Linked DNA regions of Callithrix jacchus. The protein of the gene in region 2 interacts with the protein of the main gene of each other region in a pairwise test. Links are inferred from orthologs where the notes say so. Each region holds a gene or a part of one and is shown on either strand. Other genes may lie near its edges.

What was found.
Region 1: the proteins of UBQLN4 (region 2) and SPP1 interact in a two-hybrid assay, tested with the Homo sapiens proteins (2 studies listed by BioGRID and IntAct). The link is inferred for Callithrix jacchus from reciprocal best matches to the Homo sapiens genes UBQLN4 and SPP1.
Region 3: the proteins of UBQLN4 (region 2) and PRPF40A interact in a two-hybrid assay, tested with the Homo sapiens proteins (2 studies listed by BioGRID and IntAct). The link is inferred for Callithrix jacchus from reciprocal best matches to the Homo sapiens genes UBQLN4 and PRPF40A.

Annotation. Positions count from the first base shown.
Region 1 is NC_133504.1:109,663,533-109,669,156, forward strand, and holds the end of SPP1 (osteopontin), read right to left. Parts: intron 5,188-5,624; coding exon 5,107-5,187; intron 4,841-5,106; coding exon 4,799-4,840; intron 3,757-4,798; coding exon 3,442-3,756; intron 2,748-3,441; coding exon 2,343-2,747; 3' UTR 1,834-2,342; downstream 1-1,833. UniProt on the Homo sapiens protein: Major non-collagenous bone protein that binds tightly to hydroxyapatite. Appears to form an integral part of the mineralized matrix. Probably important to cell-matrix interaction.
Region 2 is NC_133519.1:16,437,096-16,444,374, forward strand, and holds the start of UBQLN4 (ubiquilin-4), read right to left. Parts: upstream 4,918-7,279; 5' UTR 4,816-4,917; coding exon 4,404-4,815; intron 2,339-4,403; coding exon of another isoform or gene 2,275-2,338; coding exon 2,187-2,274; intron 1,803-2,186; coding exon 1,585-1,802; intron 1,019-1,584; coding exon 756-1,018; intron 1-755. Other genes in the region: ragulator complex protein LAMTOR2, read left to right, coding at 5,693-5,760, 6,066-6,228. UniProt on the Homo sapiens protein: Regulator of protein degradation that mediates the proteasomal targeting of misfolded, mislocalized or accumulated proteins.
Region 3 is NC_133507.1:77,394,634-77,401,457, reverse strand, and holds part of PRPF40A (pre-mRNA-processing factor 40 homolog A), read right to left. Parts: intron 4,825-6,824; coding exon 4,714-4,824; intron 3,256-4,713; coding exon 3,135-3,255; intron 2,901-3,134; coding exon 2,847-2,900; intron 1,302-2,846; coding exon 1,277-1,301; intron 581-1,276; coding exon 206-580; intron 1-205.

The sequences.
Region 1 (5,624 bases), on a different chromosome or scaffold from region 2:
TGGTCATGCCCTTGGATTTGGGCACAGTGCCAAGCGTGCAGGAACAGCACCATCAATCCAGCCATCACCTGCAGGTGAGTGTGAGAAGTGCCAACTGAAGCAGGTATGCTGGGAACCAAAGGGGCTTCTGCACCTGACTAATGAAATCTACAAGGACTGTGGCATGGCATTGTCTTCTCATCCTTAGAAGAGGTTTCCTCACACCAAGACTGTGAAGTTACTCACTCATATGTTTAATATCTGTATAGCTTCCTTTTAAATCTATTGATTATTTTTTAAATTGATACATAATAGGTGTCCATATTTTGGGGGCACATGTGATGTTTTGGTCCATGCATTTAGTGTATAATGATTCAGTTAGCATGATTGAAATACCCATTTCCTCAAACATTTATCTTTTCTTTATGTTGGGAACTTGAATTCTCATCTTTTAGGGCTTTTAACAAATGTATATACAATAAATTATTTATAGTCACCCTACTCTACTGTCAAATGCTAAATCTTATTTCTTCTACCTAAGTGTATATTTGTACCCGTTAATCAACCTGTCTTCATCTGCCCCTAGCCTTCACCTCTCCACCCTCTGGTGGAACCACCAATTTACAGTATATCTCTACGCGATCCACTTTTCTAGCTCCCATATATGGGTGAGAACACGCGATCTTTGTCTTTTTGTGCCTGTCTTATTTCACTTAACATAATGACCTCCAGTTCCATCCACATTGCTCCAAATGACAGGATTTAATTTCTTTTAATGGCCAAATAGTATTCCATTGTGTTTATATACCATGTTTTACTATTCATCATGAGGGACATTTACACTGATTGCACATCTTGGCTATTACGAATAGTGCTGCAATAAACATGGTAGTTCAGATATCTCTTCCACATACTGATTTCTTTTCTTTTGGTTATATGCTCAGCAATGGGATTGCTAAATAATACAGTAGTTCTATTTTTGTTTTTCTGAGCAGTTCTCCATAAAGTTTTTCATAGTGGCTGTACTAATTTACATTTCTTACCAGTATACGAGTGTCCTTCTTTCCCCAAATCCTGGCCCTGTATCTGTTATTTTTTGTCTCTTTGATAAAAGCCATTTTAAATTGGGTGGGTTGATAACTCATAATGGTTGTGATTTGCATATCCCTGATAATTAGTGAGTGATGTTGAGCATTTTTCCATATACCTGTTGGCCATTTGCACGTCTTCTTTTGAGAAATGTCTATTCATATTTGTACCCATTTTTAATTGGATTATTTGAGTTTTCTTTTCTTTTTCTTGATATTACATTGTTTGAGTTCCTTATGTGTTCTGGATTTTAATTCTTTCTTAGATGCATAGTTTGTGCATGTTTTCTCCTGGCATTTTTGACAACATAGGTGAACCTAGAGGAGGTTAAGTTAAATAAGCCAAGCACCGAAGGACAAGTACTACATGACCTCACTCATATATGGAATCTGGAAAAGTTGACCTCATAGAAGTAGAGAGTAGAATAGTGATTACCAGCAGGAGAGAGAGTAGGAAGGTCGATGGGGGAGGTTAGTCAATGGGTACAAAGTTACAGTTAGCTAGGAGGAATAAATTCTGGTATTCTATTGCACAGTATGTTGATTAGAGTCAATAATAATGTATCATATACTTCAAAATAGCTAGAACATAGGATTGAATATTCTCATTACAAAGAAATGACAAGTGTTTGAGGTGATGGATATGATAATTACCCTTTGATAATTATACAGTGTATGTATGTATCAAAACATCAACACAGTACCCCATAAATATCTACAATTATTATGTATCAATTAAAACCAAAATAAAGCTTTAAAAATGTTACATAGGCAGTAAAAAATGTTATATTTTATTAATTGCTAGACAAGTGTGGGAAAACAAGTAAGCAATTGACACCGCCAAATTCTTATTACATTTGAGATGAAAGATTTATTCACACCACAAAAGAAAGATAATCACAACAAAATATACACTAATTTAAAAAATGAAAGATCATAATGACATAAAATGTTATTTTTTAAGTGTGTAAAAGTATTTTGTTTGCTTCTACATAAATTTCTATTCATAAAAGAATAACAAACATTAAAATACAGTGACAGTTTATATTTCTTCTATAGAATGAACATAGATATAACCCTGAAGCTTTTAGTTTACAGGGAGTTTCTATGACAAACTAAACTAATGATCAAACACATTAGTTATTTCCAGATTCACATAGATACACATTCACCCACTAAACTGAGAAATAAGCATTTCATATTCCCTTTCATTTTGCTATAAAGCATCTTTTCTTTCTACTAAAAGAAAAGTGAGAAATTGTATTTTTTCTTGTTTTAATTGACCTCAGAAGATGCACTATCTAATTCATGGGAAATGCGAAATTTCAGGTGTTTATCTTCTTCCGTACTTTTAGGATCTACAACGAGCAGATCTTCCTGGCTGTGAAATTCATGGCTGTGGAACTCACGGCTGACTTTGGAAACTTCCTGACTATCAATCACATCTGAATGCTCATTGCTCTCATCACTGGCTTTCCGCTTATGTAATCTGGACTGCTCGTGGCTGTGGGTTTCCGCACTTTGGTCATCCAGCTGACTCATTTCATGACTGTCCTTCCCATGGCTGTCCCAATCAGAAGGCACGTTCAGGCTCTGGGCAACAGGGATGGCCTTGTATGCACCATTCAACTCCTCGCTTTCCACGTGTGAGGTGATGTCCTCCTCGGTAGCATCAGGGTACTGAATCACAGCACAAATGAAGAAGAATTATATGAACAGCTAGGGATGGGAATATGGTAATCCTTTTCTGCTCTCTAACATTTAGGCCATCTTGTACTAAAAATTGTCTAAATCTTCCTGAAATAATATTAGCATGTTACTTTGTATAGTACTTTACCAAGCCCTTTCACATATGTTATCTCCTTTAGTTTAATAAGTACATCACTTACTTATGTAATGAAACCTATGAGATAGGTTTGATTATATCTGTTTCACATAAAGAGGAAGTGAATTGGAAGTTAAAAAGTAAAGAGAATAGTAAATGGCAAGTCTATGTCAAATCCAGATTCTCTGACTAAGGATTCAGTGTAATTTGCAACTCTACAATTCCTCTTAGTTATTTAACTTGAAAACATGACCATTATATTTTTAAAATAATTAGTGTTTTCCATTTTTTTAAATCTAAAAGTAAGTGATTCAGGATTTGAAAAAATAGAATTGTGTTTGGGAATCCAATCTAGAGAGGAATTATGTAGACTTACAAAAACCACCAAATAGAAAAAGATTTGTATTCATTGATCATGAAGTAGAATATGAATGAATTCTTGCTGAATGGATGAATGAATGGACAAATGAATGAATGAATATGCAAACTATGGTTTCCTAGACTTGAGCTCTAGTCAGAACCATCAGATATGTCTTTTAAAGGATTTACCTGGATGTCAGATCTGCGAAATTTCTTGGATTTTGATCTCAGTCCATAACCCACACTATCACCTCGGCCATCATATGTGTCTATTGTGGGGACAGGTGGAGTGAAAACTTCAGTTGCTGGCAGGTCCGTGGGAAAATCAGTGACCAGTTCATCGGATTCATCAGAATGGTGAGATTCATCAGACTGGTGAGAATCATCAGTGTGATCTACTTCATCAGAGTCATTCGAGTCCTGGCTGTCCACATGGTCATCATCATCATCATCATCCACATCGTCCATGTCATCATGGCTTTCATTGGACTTACTTGGAAGGGTCTGAAAATTAAGATGACCAGGAAAATTAGCGTATGGGTTTTTATTTTCCCTTAGACTTTATAGCACATTAGTCTTTTACTGTCTTTCTTTTTATTTAGTTTCAGAATCTTTGCATTCATAGTACACTCCATGGCTTTTAGGAGCTAAAGTGAGCATCTTCCAATTTCACTTTTAACACAGGGATAAATAATAACATTCTGAGGAACTTTTCTTACTTTCTAAGAAAAATCATTTTCATAGATATTTTCAAGCCAAATATGTGAGTGTAATCTTCATATTAATAACATTGTTTTTTCTTATACATATTAAACATTATTTAATTTACTAAATTCAATGTTGTAATAGATACAGATACATAATTATGAGACTGATTTTCCTATTTGAAATGAGATTTATCAAAAGAAAAGAGCATTCATATTTTAATGTGTGTACCAAAATCTATAATCACTTCCCTATTAGCATGGATAATCGTAAGCTGACTCTGTTATGCATGTATATATAAACTGCAGCTCAAAACTGTTCATTGAATTAAACAATGTCTATTAAACTTCCAATTGACAAATATATTGAGTCCTTTATCTAACTTGCTTTAATATTCTTAGTATATTCAAAATGAATCTTAAGGAAAATAAATTTACACTTTGCTTAGCAAATATATGAATGATCCTAACAAAAAGAATAGTTGTTGAATAAACTATTTTATTAGGAAAGAAAACTTCCTAAAGGCAAAATCTTAGCTTTGATAGGCATTAATTAGATGCTTACTAGATATTAGATAACTACAAAATACCTTAAATATATTGCAAGCAGCTTAATGTTTCAAATAGCAAGCATTAATAAACATTTCCTGTAATGTAAACTTATCTGAGGAAACCTAGTATTTCTGATATTTAGTAAATAAATGTTTTCTTTCTGAGCAAATTTTAGACTGCCAATTTACTTGAAAATTTGCTAATGAAATTTCATCAGAAGAGAACCCACGCAATGGCTTCTTTCATTTCTTCAAGTCATGATGGGCCTCTGATTGAAAATGAGAACTTACCTCTTGTTTAAAGTCATCAGTTTCTTCAGAGGACACAGCATTCTGAAGAAGGAATGGCACATATTAGTGTGCATCGCACCTGCCTGGCTTTTTTATTCAAAAGTTAACCTTTTTGATTCAAAGCAGTGTTTATTTTTCAGCCTCATCAGTGGATGGCTTAACAAGGGAAGAAGCTAACATGGCAGATCAATCAGTGCCCTAAGCACATATTTGCCAGCAGGCAGGCAGGATTCATCAGACCAGCCCAAATGGCCTGCTTGTAGCTGTCTCTTATTGTTATAGCTTAATTTTGAGAAGTTTAAAAATACCTGTGGGGCTAGGAGATTCTGCTTCTGAGATGGGTCAGGCTTTAGCCACGTGGCCACAGCATCTGGGTATTTGTTGTAAAGCTACAAAAAAGTTTCATGTTTATCATTATCAAAAAAAGAAACAGATGAACTGAAAAAACAACCATTCTTCACCAGTCTTGATGACTGAGTATAATATGCATGCATGTAGAGTCACCCAGACCCTTAGATATCCTTTGGTAATATTTTTTTTTTCAAATTCTTATGAAGCACTTACTGTGGGCTAGGCACTCTTTCAAACTGCTTTCCAAATACTAACTCATTTGTTCCTCTCATTCCCCTATGAGGCAAGTATCATTATTATGCCCACCTTACAAATCAGAAAACTCAGCGACCATGCAGTTAAATGGTAGGAAATGGCAGAGCCAGGCAGGATTCACACACAGGCAAACTGGTTCTTAACACTGAACTTCACACTGTGCTTTCTTTTTGTATGTTTGCTGGGTAAATTTCCTCTCAGATAAGCACATCTAAAGCAG
Region 2 (7,279 bases):
TTATAATGGATATGCCTAGCCTCACAGAACTCTGATTTCTTGTCCTGTAATTCATTCATTCAATAAATATTTACTGAGTGACTGTCATGCACCAGGTAGTGTTCTAGACAGTGAACAAAACACTCACAAATCCTTGACCTTATAGGAGTTATCTTCTGGCGAGTCCAGCACTGGTGTCCATAGCTCTGCTGGGAAGATCATCTATCTTGGTCCTCTGGTGGAGCTAACCGTGAGATGGAACTCCCAAAGAGCAACATCACAACAGTGTCCCCTGGGTCTACCTTCCCCACTGGGCCCTGCCCAGCCACAGTGCTCCCCAGACAACCTACCATACATCTTTTACTCCCAAGCCTTTATAAGTGCTGTCCTTAGGCCCTGAATGCTCTAGTCTTTTTTTCCCCCTGGTTGTCTTCCTCCTTTGGGTCTCAGCTTGGTGCCATTTCTTCTTGGTGACATTCCTCCTCTAAGCCCCAGGGTAGGGTCAGGAGCTCTTCTCTATGCTCCTAGGGGATCCTGTGATTATCCTTCCAATAGCACTGACCACACGGTATGCTAATTGCCAGTTTACTTGTCCCACTTCCCTTTGACACTGGAATTCCTGAAAAGCTAGGCCTGTCTTTTCATCGCTGTACCTCCAGTGTTCAAAACTGCTGAATACACAAGTGGACAAATCAATGTAGGACAAGGAAGGAAAGGCTGAGCAGGGCATGGCTGGGCACCAGTGTCCTCCAGCTCTCCAGCCCTCTCATACCCACCTGCCTCATGAGTTCAGGGTTGTTGAGCATGTGGCTGATCTCGGGGTTCCGCTCCATCAGCTGCTGCATCTGGGGGTTGGCCATGATCATGTGACGCATCAGGTCAGGGTTCGACATCATATCCTGGACCAGGGGGTTCTCCATGATCTGTGACAGCATCTCAGGATTGGACATCAGCTGCCTCTGCATCTGCTGCTGCAGCTCCATAAAGTTGGCAGAGCCCAGGCCCAGGCTGCCCAGCCCCAGGATGCCCCCAAAGCCAGCTGTGGGAAGGGGGCAGGGTCACAGTCTGCCACAAGAGCCCATTCCTCTCCTAGCCAGAGCTACTGAATTCAGGTCTCCATGACAGGCCCCAAATGCTTCTCACACGTCCCTCTTCCAATCACTCCCACAGCCCGGCCCTGATCCATTGCTGGCAAAAAAATGTGAGCCTACTAGGCTGAGACCTCTCTGAAGGCTGAGGCTGTGCCAAACACAGAACTGAGCAGAGAGAAGGCAACCAGCAATGGTTGAATGAGTAGCCCATCTGGCTACTGCTGGATCCAACTTTTCCCCAGACTCACAGGGTCTTCCACTCTCTTTACCCAGGGTTCTCCACATCCCCAACCCCATTTCTCCCCCAACTCCTAACTCTTAGCCATTGTCCCCACCTCTGGGAACTCCTCAGACTAGTTTCCTTCCCAGCTTGAATCAAATATCAATGTCTGAAACTCTATGGAGTCCCCTATCCCCATCAGAGCAGGGGCAGGAACCATGCTTCTCCCTCCTCTAGGCGTTCCCCAACTCCCCAACCCCAAACAAGATTGTGTTCTCCTCTCTGAGGGCTTACACAGTATGGACGCAGTAGCACTGGGGGGTCCCTCTCCAGCCCCTGGAGAGGGCCCCCCCCCACTGCTCCTCCGGCTTCCACCGCCAGCATCCGAAGAGGCACTGCCAGAGGTGGAGGGCTGTGCAGGGGTGGCGGGTGAAGCAGGCGTGGTGGAGGGTGCTGAGGCAGGGTCAGGTGTGGAAGGGGAGGAAGCAGTGGCAGCGGCTGGATCTTGAGCCCTGAGGACAGAGAAAGGAGAATCCTAGTTGGAGTGAGCACTAGAAGAGGGAAGGTACTGGGACAATCTCTGTGCTTGCCATGGGACTACTGTTTTAACCCAAGCCTCCTCCTGAGCAGCCTTGATGCTGGGGCTGGGGGATGGCTGAGGGGCAGTCAGCACACCAGGGAGAGGGAGAAAGCAGCTACTATTATCTGTCTTCAGGGCATTCTGGGAGTGGTAAATCAGCTTCTCCTCCCCTAGAGATGAGATCATATTCATCTAGGAGCTACCTGCTGGGGCCTCAGCATAGATAGGCCTTCTGGGTACAGCTGAGCAATGAGTGAGAAAGTATCAGACTGGGAGGCCCAGTGAGAAGCTGGATCTGCTCTGCTCCTGAACTTACTTCTGAGGGGTCTTGATGACCAGATGGACAGTGAGCCCGTCCTTGATTCCATGCTGGTTCAGTGTGTCCCCATCCTTGAGGATCTTGCCTGCGAAGATCAGGACCAGCTGATCCTGCTGAGCCTTAAACCTCCGGGAGATTTCCTCTTTGAACTGTGATCAAGAGGCAGAGGTCACTGTGGAGGCTGCCTGGACTCGCCCTACCAGGGACCCTGACTCTTTAACAGCTTCTGTACTCTCTTGCTCTCATCTCTAGTCATGGGAAGTCCTTTCTTTCTTTCTTTTTTTTTTTTTTTGAGACAGAGTTTCACTCTTGTTACCCAGGCTGGAGTGCAATGGCGCAATCTCGGCTCACCGCAACCTCCGCCTCCTGGGTTCAGGCAATTCTCCTGCCTCAGCCTCCTGAGTAGCTGGGATTACAGGCACGCGCCACTGTGCCCAGCTAATTTTTTTGTATTTTTAGTAGAGACGGGGTTTCACCATGTTGACCAGGATGGTCTTGATCTCTTGACCTTGTGATCCACCCGCCTCAGCCTCCCAAAGTGCTGGGATTACAGGCGTGAGCCACCATGCCCGGCTGGGAAGTTCTTTCATGGGAAGTCGTTTCTGTGGTCTCAACACCATTCCTCCAGCTGTAATAAGCATCTCCTTTCTTAACAAAGGAGATGGACCAGTGAGAGGCTCTTGTCTCCCACTGTAGAAAGCCCTTGCTGCTATCTGCCTCCCAGCTTAAGTCCCTCCACCTAGTTCTCTGTGAGGCAGGGCAGCCTCCCCATTCCCCCTCAACGTCCCCCCGGCCCCGTCTCAACTAGGTCAACAGCCTTGGACCTTTAGCCTTCTGAGACCCAATTTTCTCTCCTCTCTATTCCCAGTGTTCTTGTAACAACTACAACAAGTAGATGCCAGCTACTGAGCACTATCTATGCACGAGTTAAAGATCTAGTATATTAATTATTATCTTCATTTTATTTATTGTTATATTTATCTTGAGATCTTGCTCTGTCACCCACGCTGGAGTGCAGTGGTGCGATCTTGGCTCACTGCAACCTCCATCTCCCGGGTGCAAGTGATTCTCCTGCGTCAGCCTCCCGAGTGGCTGGGACTACAAGCACACACCACCATGCCCGGCTTAATTTTGTATTTTTAGTAGAGAGGGGGCTTCACCATGTTGGCCAGGCAGGTCTTGAACTCCTGACCTCAGGTGATCACCAGGCTTGGGCTTCCAAAGTGCTGAGATTACAGGCAAGAGCCATCACGCCAGCCTCAAAGAATCAGCAAGATAAGGTAACTTGCCCTAGGCAGAACAGAACTCAAAGCTTGACACCAAAGTCCAGGCTCTCACCTAAACACACTACCTCTCAATGAAAGCCGTTTTCAAATTCGGCTTTGCAAGGAACAGTACGGTATTTAAATTCTGAAATTTAGTAATTCTCTGTGGTTAGGGAGGGAGAAAAGATGGAGTTAGACTCCCCAAATTCTATTGGCCCCTCCACAACACAACACAACACAACACAACACAACACACACTTTAAGTAAAAACAGTGCACTTGTTAAGCAGAGGCAGCTTCCAGATCCCTCTCTTCCAACCAGATGGCCTGTCTTAAGCCCCGCCTATGTGAAATTATGGAGTGGCCACAGGGGGTGGCGAACACAGGCAACAGTCCCTCATTCAACAAGATTTTATTGAGCACCTACTGCACACCGTGTAAATCTCAGAAGAGCTGAGAACCAAATGTAACCACGTCGATTTGAAAGAGTGGGAAGGATCTGGGCACAGGGAAATCCTCCCCCGACAGCCCCGCCGCTCACAGAACACTGGGCGTTCTCTGAGGCACCGAGTAGGCGCCGGCGCTCTTCGCCAGCCCCCGGCCACTTCTCTCGGTTAGCACCTTGCCGCGGCCTCCACTCGGGTACACTCCCCTCAAACCCAGGATCCTTCCCTCTTCCCGGTGCAAAGTGTCCCCTCCTCACTCTCCACCACGCCCCCAGCCCAGGCCACACGGCAAAACCCGCCCCTCAACACGCGCCACGCTCCCCTAGATCTCCCCTCGCAGGGCGCCCCCTACCCGCCTCTCCCTTCCTCCAGCTCCACGGAGTCCCAGCTGGCCCTCGCCCTCCTCTCCGGGGCCCTCCGGGACGCCAGAACCTCAGGGAGGGCCCCCCATCTCTTCACAGACCCCTCCTCCGCGCTCCCTCCGCCCCCCGCCAGCCGTACTACCTCCTTGACCGAGGCTCGATCGCAGATTACAATTTCCTCCTTGTCCTTGGGGGTCTTGACGGTGACCCGAATGGGGGGCCTCGTCTCGGCCCCGCTCGGCTCCGCCATGCCGCCGCCGCCGCCACCCGGCCGCCCGCCAGCCCGTCCAGCTCCTCCTCCTCCCCGCCCGCCCGGCCAGCCCGGCTCGGCTCCAGCGCCTCCAACACTCCCCTCTCTCCACCTCTCCCCTTCCTCCCCTCCTCTCTCCTCCCCTCCCCGAGGCTTCACCGCCCCCTCCGGACCAGCCGCAGCCACAGCGCCCCGGGCGGACCGGGGGGGCCACTGCAGCGGGTTCCGCCCAGGGCCGAGCCCCGGGTCCGGAGCCAGGCCCGGGGCTCGCCAGGCTGGGGCCCCTGGGGGGCGCTCTGGGCATGGGGAGGGGCGTGCCCTTCACTGCGGGGGCGGGGACGGACTCCTCGGGGAGACAGAGGCCCAACGCTGCCCGCCAGAGCCGTGCCGCGGTCCCTTCCAGCCCAAAGCTTCCCCGCCCCCTCCGCGTCTAACTCCGCTCCGGGACAAAGGACTTTCTGTGTCGCCGCTTTATCTCCATTCCCTGTAATAACTTGGTCTTTCTTGGAAGCCCAAAGTCCTTTCCAGGCCAGGGGCCTTTCCCGACCTGGAGGTTGGGTTTTCCCACCAAGTTAAGTCCTTAGGATCTTAGCTCTGGGACTGACCCTATAGCTCCGAGGGTCACGGCCTAACTGGTCTATTAAGAATGGTTCCAGGGAGTTGGGTTTTGGCTGCGTGGCCTTTCTGAGCCTTGGTTTTCTCAAGATAATAGTAACAGTTCCCCTCGCCTCATCGCACAAAATTGTGCATAACGGAGAAAACTGTTTTGAAAGTAACCAAAGGCATGCCTGACAAATATAAGGATGTAGTCTAATTATTGAATCGTGGACTGCCAAGCGGACACGTTGACTCCTTTCTCCCCGAAGGAGTTAAATGTCCTTCCAGTGCTGCCACTGTCCTTCCACTCCCGCTCTTTTTGCCCCCCGCAACCGCGTGGTCAGCCTGGAAAGGCGAACTATAGTTCCCAGGGTGCCTCGCGAGGCCACAAGGAACTACGATTCCCAGAGCCGCCCGCGGCGGGGTGGGGAGTTGAGTCGGAACTACAATAACCAGGCGAGGAAACTACAACTCCCAGGGCGTTTGGAAGCAGGCCACGGGACTACGGGAAGCAGAAGTCAGCGGCTCGCGGGAGGCACCTCGGAGGATCTGGGTGCAAAAGCCCAGGGTTAGAAGCCGTAGGCATGTTGCGCCCCAAGGCTTTAACCCAGGTGCTAAGCCAAGCCAACACTGGAGGAGTCCAGAGCACCCTGTGAGTGCGGACCACGGACCCGAGCGGCCAGCCCCGTAGTTGGGCTGCGCGCGGCTCCCTGAGGGAGGGGTGGGGAAGGATCGCCGGGAAGGGAGGAGGCGGCAGAGCGGGCAGCGGCTGGGAGTGCTGGCCAGTAGATACCCTCTCGAAAAGGGAAGCCGGTGTGCTGGGTGCTTAGGGCGCGTTCCAGGACACACTAAGCCCAGACCCTTGCTGGCTGTGCTAGTGGTGGGACTTGGGCTGGAAACCCAGGCGTTTTACTCTCTGTCCTGGGCACAACGTTATCCTTCCCCGCCCCTCACCAGGCTGCTGAATAACGAGGGATCACTGCTGGCCTACTCGGGTTACGGGGACACTGACGCTCGGGTCACTGCGGCCATAGCCAGTAACATCTGGGCCGCCTACGACCGGAATGGGAACCAAGCGTTTAATGAAGACAATCTCAAATTCATCCTCATGGACTGCATGGTATGGAGAGGGAAGCCAGACTTCCCCTGCCCCCCAAGGGGATCCCAAGGGGGTGACCCGGACCCCATCCTGGATGGTTGGAGGGGCAGGGACAGTGTCTCCGGAAGATTACTAAGAGTTGGTCTGCAGCAGCATTCGTAATAGGCAGGACCCTATTCATCAAATGGTGGTGAGGAAGGAGCCCTGGACCTGAGAGGTCTGACTTGGGTTCTGGTTTCAGCCATCCACTTATCAGTTGTGGAACCTTGGGTAAGTCGCCTAACCTCTCTCAGCTTCCTTACCTCATGTCTAAGGAGGAAGCAGCTATTTCCCTTTTCCCGCTCCCCTCCTGGATGGTTGTGAAGATCGGATGAAATAATGGGTATAAACAGTAGAACGATGTGCAAACACGAAGTGTTGTCATCCCAGCCTCGCCGACTCACAGAACCATGGTGGTCTCCAGACCCTAGTCCAACCCCTCACGGTTACAAACAAGGGAAAATGAAGTCCAGAAAGGGGAAGTTGCCGTTAGCTTGTGAACCTCTTAGTATCTGTTTAGTCAATAAGTATTTAGGTCCTTGTAGTGTTCTCAGGACTAGGGAAAAAAATAGCAAACAGAAAGGCAAAACCCCCAGCCCTAATAAATCTTAACAGTGATACAATAATGGCTCACTGCAGCCTCGACCTCCCTGGGCTCAGGTGATCTTCCTGTCTCAGCCTCTTAAGTAGCTGGAAGTACAAGCATCCACTACCACACCTCCCTAATTTTTGCATTTTTTGCAGAGATTGGGTTTTGCCATGTTGCCCGGGCTGGTCTCGATCTCTTGGCTCAAGTGATCCACCTGCCTCAGCCTCCCAAAGTGCTGGGATTACAGGCATGAGCCACTGTGCCCGGCCACATTATTTAAAATAAGTAAAATATGTAGTATGTTAGGTATTGAAAATGCAATGTAAGGCCGGGCGCAGTGGCTCACGCCTGTAATCCCAGCACTTTGGGAGGCTGAGGCAGGTGGATCTCGAGGTCAAGAGATCGAGACCATCCTGGTCAAAGAGGTGAAACCCTGTGTCTACT
Region 3 (6,824 bases), on a different chromosome or scaffold from region 2:
ACTATTTTTCACGTTTGCAGCATGACCCTCCAAAACCCGGCCTGAAAACTGAAAAAACTACCTAATGGCTTGATGTTATGATTCTCAAAAAAAAAAAAAAAAAAAAAAAAATTATTTAAGCAATCATTGGTCACTAACTAAACTGAAAATTATTTTATTAATGAAATCTGGTACTGATTTTCAGAAGACAAGTTACTAAACTTACTCAGCTACAGTTTCTTGCTTAGATGTTTCTTCTCCAGTATTACTGGATACTTCCACACTTTGATCCTGAATAGCAGGGGTACTAGTAAGTTGTGCTTGTTCCTCAGTTGAAATAGTTACTGTATTCTCATTATCTACAACAGTAGCAACAATGGAAGTAACTTCTGGCTCAGGAACAACTGGAACAGTTCCACTGACAGTATTAGAAGTAGAAGTGGAAGCATTAGCATTGGCTGCAGCAGCAGCTGCTGCAGCTGCTGCTGCAGCTGCAACAACAGCAGCTGCTGCTTCTGCTGCAGCCATGGTGCTCATTGTCGTCGGAATTTCTGTTGTAGGGACTGGGGCTGTTGATGTTGTGGTGCACTCTTCTTGCTTACTATACATTAAAAAAAGAGAACAATGGTCACTTGGTTATTGTAATCAGAAAGATAAATCAAGCTTGCTTTAAAATTGTCATAAAATCAAATGATTTAAGAGAAATAACTGAAGGAAAAAACAGCAAGAAATGCCAAACCCATTAAAAAAAAATTTTTAAATCAGACTGTAACTATACTACTTTGACTTCATTCAGTAAACATTCATGGTAATGTATTACAGGAACTCACACAAGTGTGTGCATTTCTAAAAGTTCAGTCAGCGCTCACATTACAAAATGCCCAATCTATCAGATTGTATCTCACCATAAAAATCTGACCTATATGAAAAGTTCTCTAAGAACTTTAAATTTTCTACAATCCACTCATTTAGAGGAAACGCTGTGTAAAGGAAGAGAAACACAGATATATTTCATCTACTCCCTAATCAACTCAAATTGAATTTTGGGCTTTAACCTAACAGTCTTAATTTGCAAGTGATACAGTCCAAATTCTAATAATTAATGTATAGCAAAGCATCAAATTGAGTAAGTATCCCTCTTCGTAATATTTTCTCAACGAAATGCAAAAAGGAGATCAAAATATCAAACCTAACATGTTAAATAATTATTTTTATTATAAAGAAAACTGAGCAAACAGAAGGATGTTATAAGAGAGACCAAATTTGTAAATAAAAATTGATGTCCAAAATTGCTTACCTGCTTTCTTCAGCTTTGATCATTGCTATTAAAGAGAGAAAAAGAGTCATCAACTAGTTTTAAAATATAATCCTGAAAATAAACTTAAAAGAAGATAAGATACCATATAATAGGATTTCATTTGCCATCCTAAAAAACAGAAAATCACTTTTATAGAACAAATTCTTGCTCCAATGTTCTAGTATAGCAAATAAAGACTAAAACAAATTTAAATAATAATTACTAGGAAAGCTTATTTCATGCTGCTACTTTCCCAAAGGCTGCTGTAACAACTCTATGAAAGTATCTGCATAATTCTGGAAGAAAACAGTATTTTCTCCAGGGATGAGACTAGTTTGATATATTTTAAAGATACTAACTTCAAAATGGGATCAAATTTATTACAAAATTCCAGCACATATATACTAGCATTGACAAGTAGATAGATAGTTATGCACACCAACTATTCGTAGTAGGGTTATATCAGAAATGAGCTTGATACTTCATAAGTGATCAACTGGGAAACTACCTATCTACAATATTATTGTTAGCCAATGCTAGTATAGGTAACTTAAACTGAGCTTTAAAGATCTGTATTATTTTGGTTTTCATTCCAGTATATTTTCCTTCAGATGTAACAAAAATATGTTTTATTCGACATCATTAGGGAATGAGATTCTCCACATTAAGTGATAATGTAAGCCTAACTCTTTATAAAAATATTTTAAAACTTACCACCCTTTAAAGAAAAACATTTCTGAAAATCTGTTTAGGATGGCTGAAAAAACATACTTAAAAAGTTATCACTACTAATATAATTAACATTTTTCTGATACAATGATAATCTAACTAATGAGGTCGCACAAAGACGACAGTGTCTTCTAGGAAATTTTTATTACCTTTCCTGCCAGATGTCATTCCACATCACTATCTACTTTATTAGCCCCATTCTCCTACAGTCTGCTGCTTCTAATTCGGTATATTTTATGACACTAGATTCTATCAAAAGTGAGTATGAAAACTAGATTTTCAATTCTTACTCATTATCTCTATTTTAAGTCTTAGGTTTTATATTTAGTATTAGGTATTTCTAGGTTTTTAAGGGTTATTCTGATTAGTTCAATGTTGAAAAATTCTCCCTTTATAAGAAAGGTGGGATACTTGGTTTACCTTAATTCTTCCATAACGAACATATCAAGGTTATTTTGCAACGTAAAGCTAAAACAAAACCAGCATTAAATATATAGTCTGACAATATACTAACAAAATATAAATGGATAAAGATTCAAGGATCTCTACTATGTACTCATGAATGAGTTAAAAACAAATATTCTATGCACCAACACTCGTAGTAGGATTTAGAAATTTTGTATATGAAATCCTTGTTCAATTGAATGATAAACAATTTTTTTCTAAAAATCAGAGTACAATTTTAAAAGCTACAAGCTCATTTATAATATAACCCTTTAATGAAAGGAATTCTTAGATTTTTTTCACTGCAGATTTATCCAATCATGGTTAGTGAATATTAGTGACATACTCTAATAAAAACGTTAGGTATGACAGAAAATGAATTATCAAAGCAGCTCACCATGCAGGTTTGATTTTGTAATAAGACTTCCAGCAACAATGGTATTCTGGTATCCTAGTTTCAGTGGAATCAAATCAAATAAAAATCTATTTAAAATCTATAAACTGAGATCTAGAGCAACAAGAAAATAAGAGCCCAACAAACTGTTATATCATTTTAAATGTTTTAATCATTTAATTTAAAAAAAAAGGCCTTTGTTTGAACAATCCTATTGTGGAGGAATTGTTTCAAAGTGAATGGCATACATATATAAAAGATATACATTAAAACTACTTTTTCCCATTTTACCTTCAAGATCCTCAAGTTCTTTAGGTTTGGCCCAGCGAGATTCTTTTGTTTGAGAATTATAATAGTAAGGCTTTCCAGAATCTGATTTGTATTCCTTCCAGGGGCATTTAGATAAGAGTTGCTAAAGAGAAAAAAAAAAACCTGTCTGTTAATAATAATATATTTAGCATCACTATCATTTTCATGTCTATTTTCACTAATTACCAATTATGATATAATTCTAAAACTTGTGAAATGATGCGAATAATATAAACTATCAATTACTGAATACTCAGAGTGATGTCATTTGCATATATTATTTAATCTTTGTAACACTGCAAAATGTATGACATAATTCCATATCTAGGGACTGTTACTTGAAGTCAGAAAGTAATGCGTTTAAGGTAATACACTCATTAAAAAGCAGAACCAAGATTCAAAATCAGTTGTATATAAATTTCAAATCCTATTTACTCTTATCATTCACACCCCATTACAGGTAAAGATTATCATCCATATTTAATAGTCTTCTCAAATACTAACATTAGTTGGAAAACCACAAAAGTTGGAAAAAGACAGTATCTAGTTTAGTCATGCTCAGATTTCAGTTTTGTAGTTTATTATAACTCTGTATGAACTAACTTATGTAAGCAAACATGTAGGTATAATATACTTAAAATCTAATACACAAAACCTGTTAGGGTGGCATGAGAAATCTATCCAAAGGTTGTATCCAGACACAGTGTCTTGGACAAAGTACAGAATTAATATTGACTATTAATCAGTACTGGAATACATGTTTTTAAAAATCTACCATACCAACCTCCCCTCCCAAGCATTGCTGTATCAGTGTGGGGACCTGGAGAATACTCTTACCTTCTCCAATTCCTTCATTAGGAAGAGAAGAAAACAAAAAGGTATACCACCAGCTACAATGAAACCTAAGCACAGCAATCTTAAATGCCAGATCAACTCTTACTTACTTAGCACCCCAGAGTTTCTAACTAAACCACATGCAACATTGCTTAATTCAGTTTATTTCTTCAACCTTAACTCTTTCTTCAGTATCTGTACATTTTGAATGGTAAAAATTAAAACACAGAATGAAATAAGACACTTTTCAAAACAGCATTTCCTGCAAAGAGAAAATCTCCCACTCTAAGAGAAGGTACTTTAAGGTAACTTAACTTCATTCATCTTCACTACTCTTAACCCTACCGGAAATTTAAAAACTCAGTAGAAGTCACTTAAAATCACCCAGTTTCGCTACAAACAGAAAAAAATAAAGGGCGAGCAAAGAAACAGTCTTCCCGCTTCCAATTTATTCTTTAAATCACATTTCTTAAATTGATCTCATTCTACTACGTTTCCTGAGCAGGGGCAAAATTACTAAATAAGATTAATCTGATGAGTTTTATTGCTCTTCTTCCTGATCAGCTTGACTACATTAATCCTCTTTTTTTTCCTGAATGCCTTTACAGATCCTCTTCTGGCATTTAAGCAATACTGCTCTTTGGATAGTCAACTACTTACAAAATCCTAAAAAAATATGTCCCAGTTGACTTGACGGTTCCTGAGTTCTAGTCCTCAAAACTTTTACCTCAGCAGGTGTTTTAAGATCATCCGGTTTCTCCCAGGTAGACTGTTTGGTTTCAGTGTTGTAGTAGTAAGTCCTTCCATCAGGTGATTTATGTTCAGTCCACATAGATTTCTAAAGATTAAAGATTACAAAAAGATATAAATTATTTAACAATGCTACTGACAATGAATATCAATATCATTAGTTCCAAGGCAATAAATATATTAGGAAATCAATTAAAAGTATAAACTGGGCATATTTTGACAGTCAGGATCTCTCTAAATAACAAAGATAAGACTACTCTCCTAAGAATAGTAACTTTATAACTTACATACACAAAACAGTCTTTCAGAATATAAATCTAAGCCTAGTGTATAAAAGAAAATATAGGAACTAGATGCCAATATAGTTGAATTGACCATGTGATCATCTATTCATCTACTCTAGTCCAAAAAATACTTGTATCATCTTAGACAAAGTTCTAATTGACATGCCATAAAGACACAGCTGTACAAACTGGAAAACATAGGTACTGGACAACAATCAAAATTTAACTATCAACAAGATGAAATTTAACATGGATAAAATGTGTATGTGAATGCCTCAAAACCATAAAGGTAAGATAAGATTTTACATGAATGAAACTGGTTTGATATAGAATATAAATCCACTATTAAGGTCAACAGAACACACAAAGAACCTACTAGAAGTTGCCAATGATACTTCAGGAAACTCTAGACATCCCTCAGATAAAGGTTGGTTAAAAGTTTTAAAAGGCATCATGAATGAATCAATGATGTTATCAAAGGCAGTAAATCTACTTCCAAGTAAAAGATTTTTCAGATGGTGACAAATTTTACTATGCTTGAAGGAGGGTTACAAAAATGATGTATAGTATTTCTTCAAATTTAAGACATATGATTATACAAACCTTTAAGAAAAAATAAAGTCACTGCCAAATGATCACATGCTTTTTTATCACTCAGATTTTACTTCAAACTTACTGATAGTCTTACTTACACATTAATTTTAACATATACCACTTTTAGGCATGCGTTAACAAGAAAAATAGGCAAATGAAGCACTTAAGAGATCCCTTATATTTCCTCACATTGAGACTTTCTATGTCAGAGTTGCTGATGTCCATTATATTCCAAATATAACCATCAAATATATTGGTAATATGGTATATCTTTAAAAAATAATAAAGTGAAAAATCACTGGTACTGGTTCCTAATGTCTTTTGTACTTATTTAAAAAGCTGATTTACTTTTTCTTATCAATTTTAAAAAGAACTGACCTAGTGTTGATTTTTGTTTTGGGAATGTGACTGAACATAATGGGATTCAATTCTTTACCAATTTTTTCACCTTAATCATTTTATTCCTAGTTCCTAAGGGAGTGATGTTACTTTTATGATTTTCCTTGAAACCAATGATGTGGGTACTTTTGCTGTTTACTCATGCACAACTGCTAACCTGACAATGGAGGTCACAGACACTATGGATTACAGCAGGGGTCTCTAACCCCCAGGCCATGGACCACAGCGCAGTTCCAGTCCGTGGTCTGTTGGGAACCGGGTTGCACAGCAGGCACTGAGTAGTGGGTAAGCCAGCAAAGCTTCATTTGTATTTACAGCCACTCTCCCATTGCTCACATTACCTTGTGAGCTCTGTCTCCTGTCCTATCAGTGGTGGCATCGGTTTCTCATAGGACTGGAAACCCTAACATGAACTGCGCAAGTGAAGGATCTAGGCTGCATGCTTCTTATGGGAAACTAATGCCTGATAATCTGCCACTGTCTCCCAACTAGACCATCCTATCTGCAAGAAATTTCTGCATGCTGTAGCAGAATAATTAGACAATTCCCAAGCTGTGTTAAATTCTAGCACCTTATACTGGATAAAACCACCATAATATCTCTTAAGCAAACATAACACAGATGCTGAAAAAAATAATCTTTCTGCCATTAGCCTGCTTTAACTTCTTATCTAAAGGTGGTGCGATTAGAAACACAAATGTATAAACTTCAATTATGATAATGCTTTATTTCACAAATTAGTGTTAAAAACAGACAAAAAAGTTTGTATTTTCCTTTTAAAAACAACTAATGATCTCAGTAGCATCTCAAA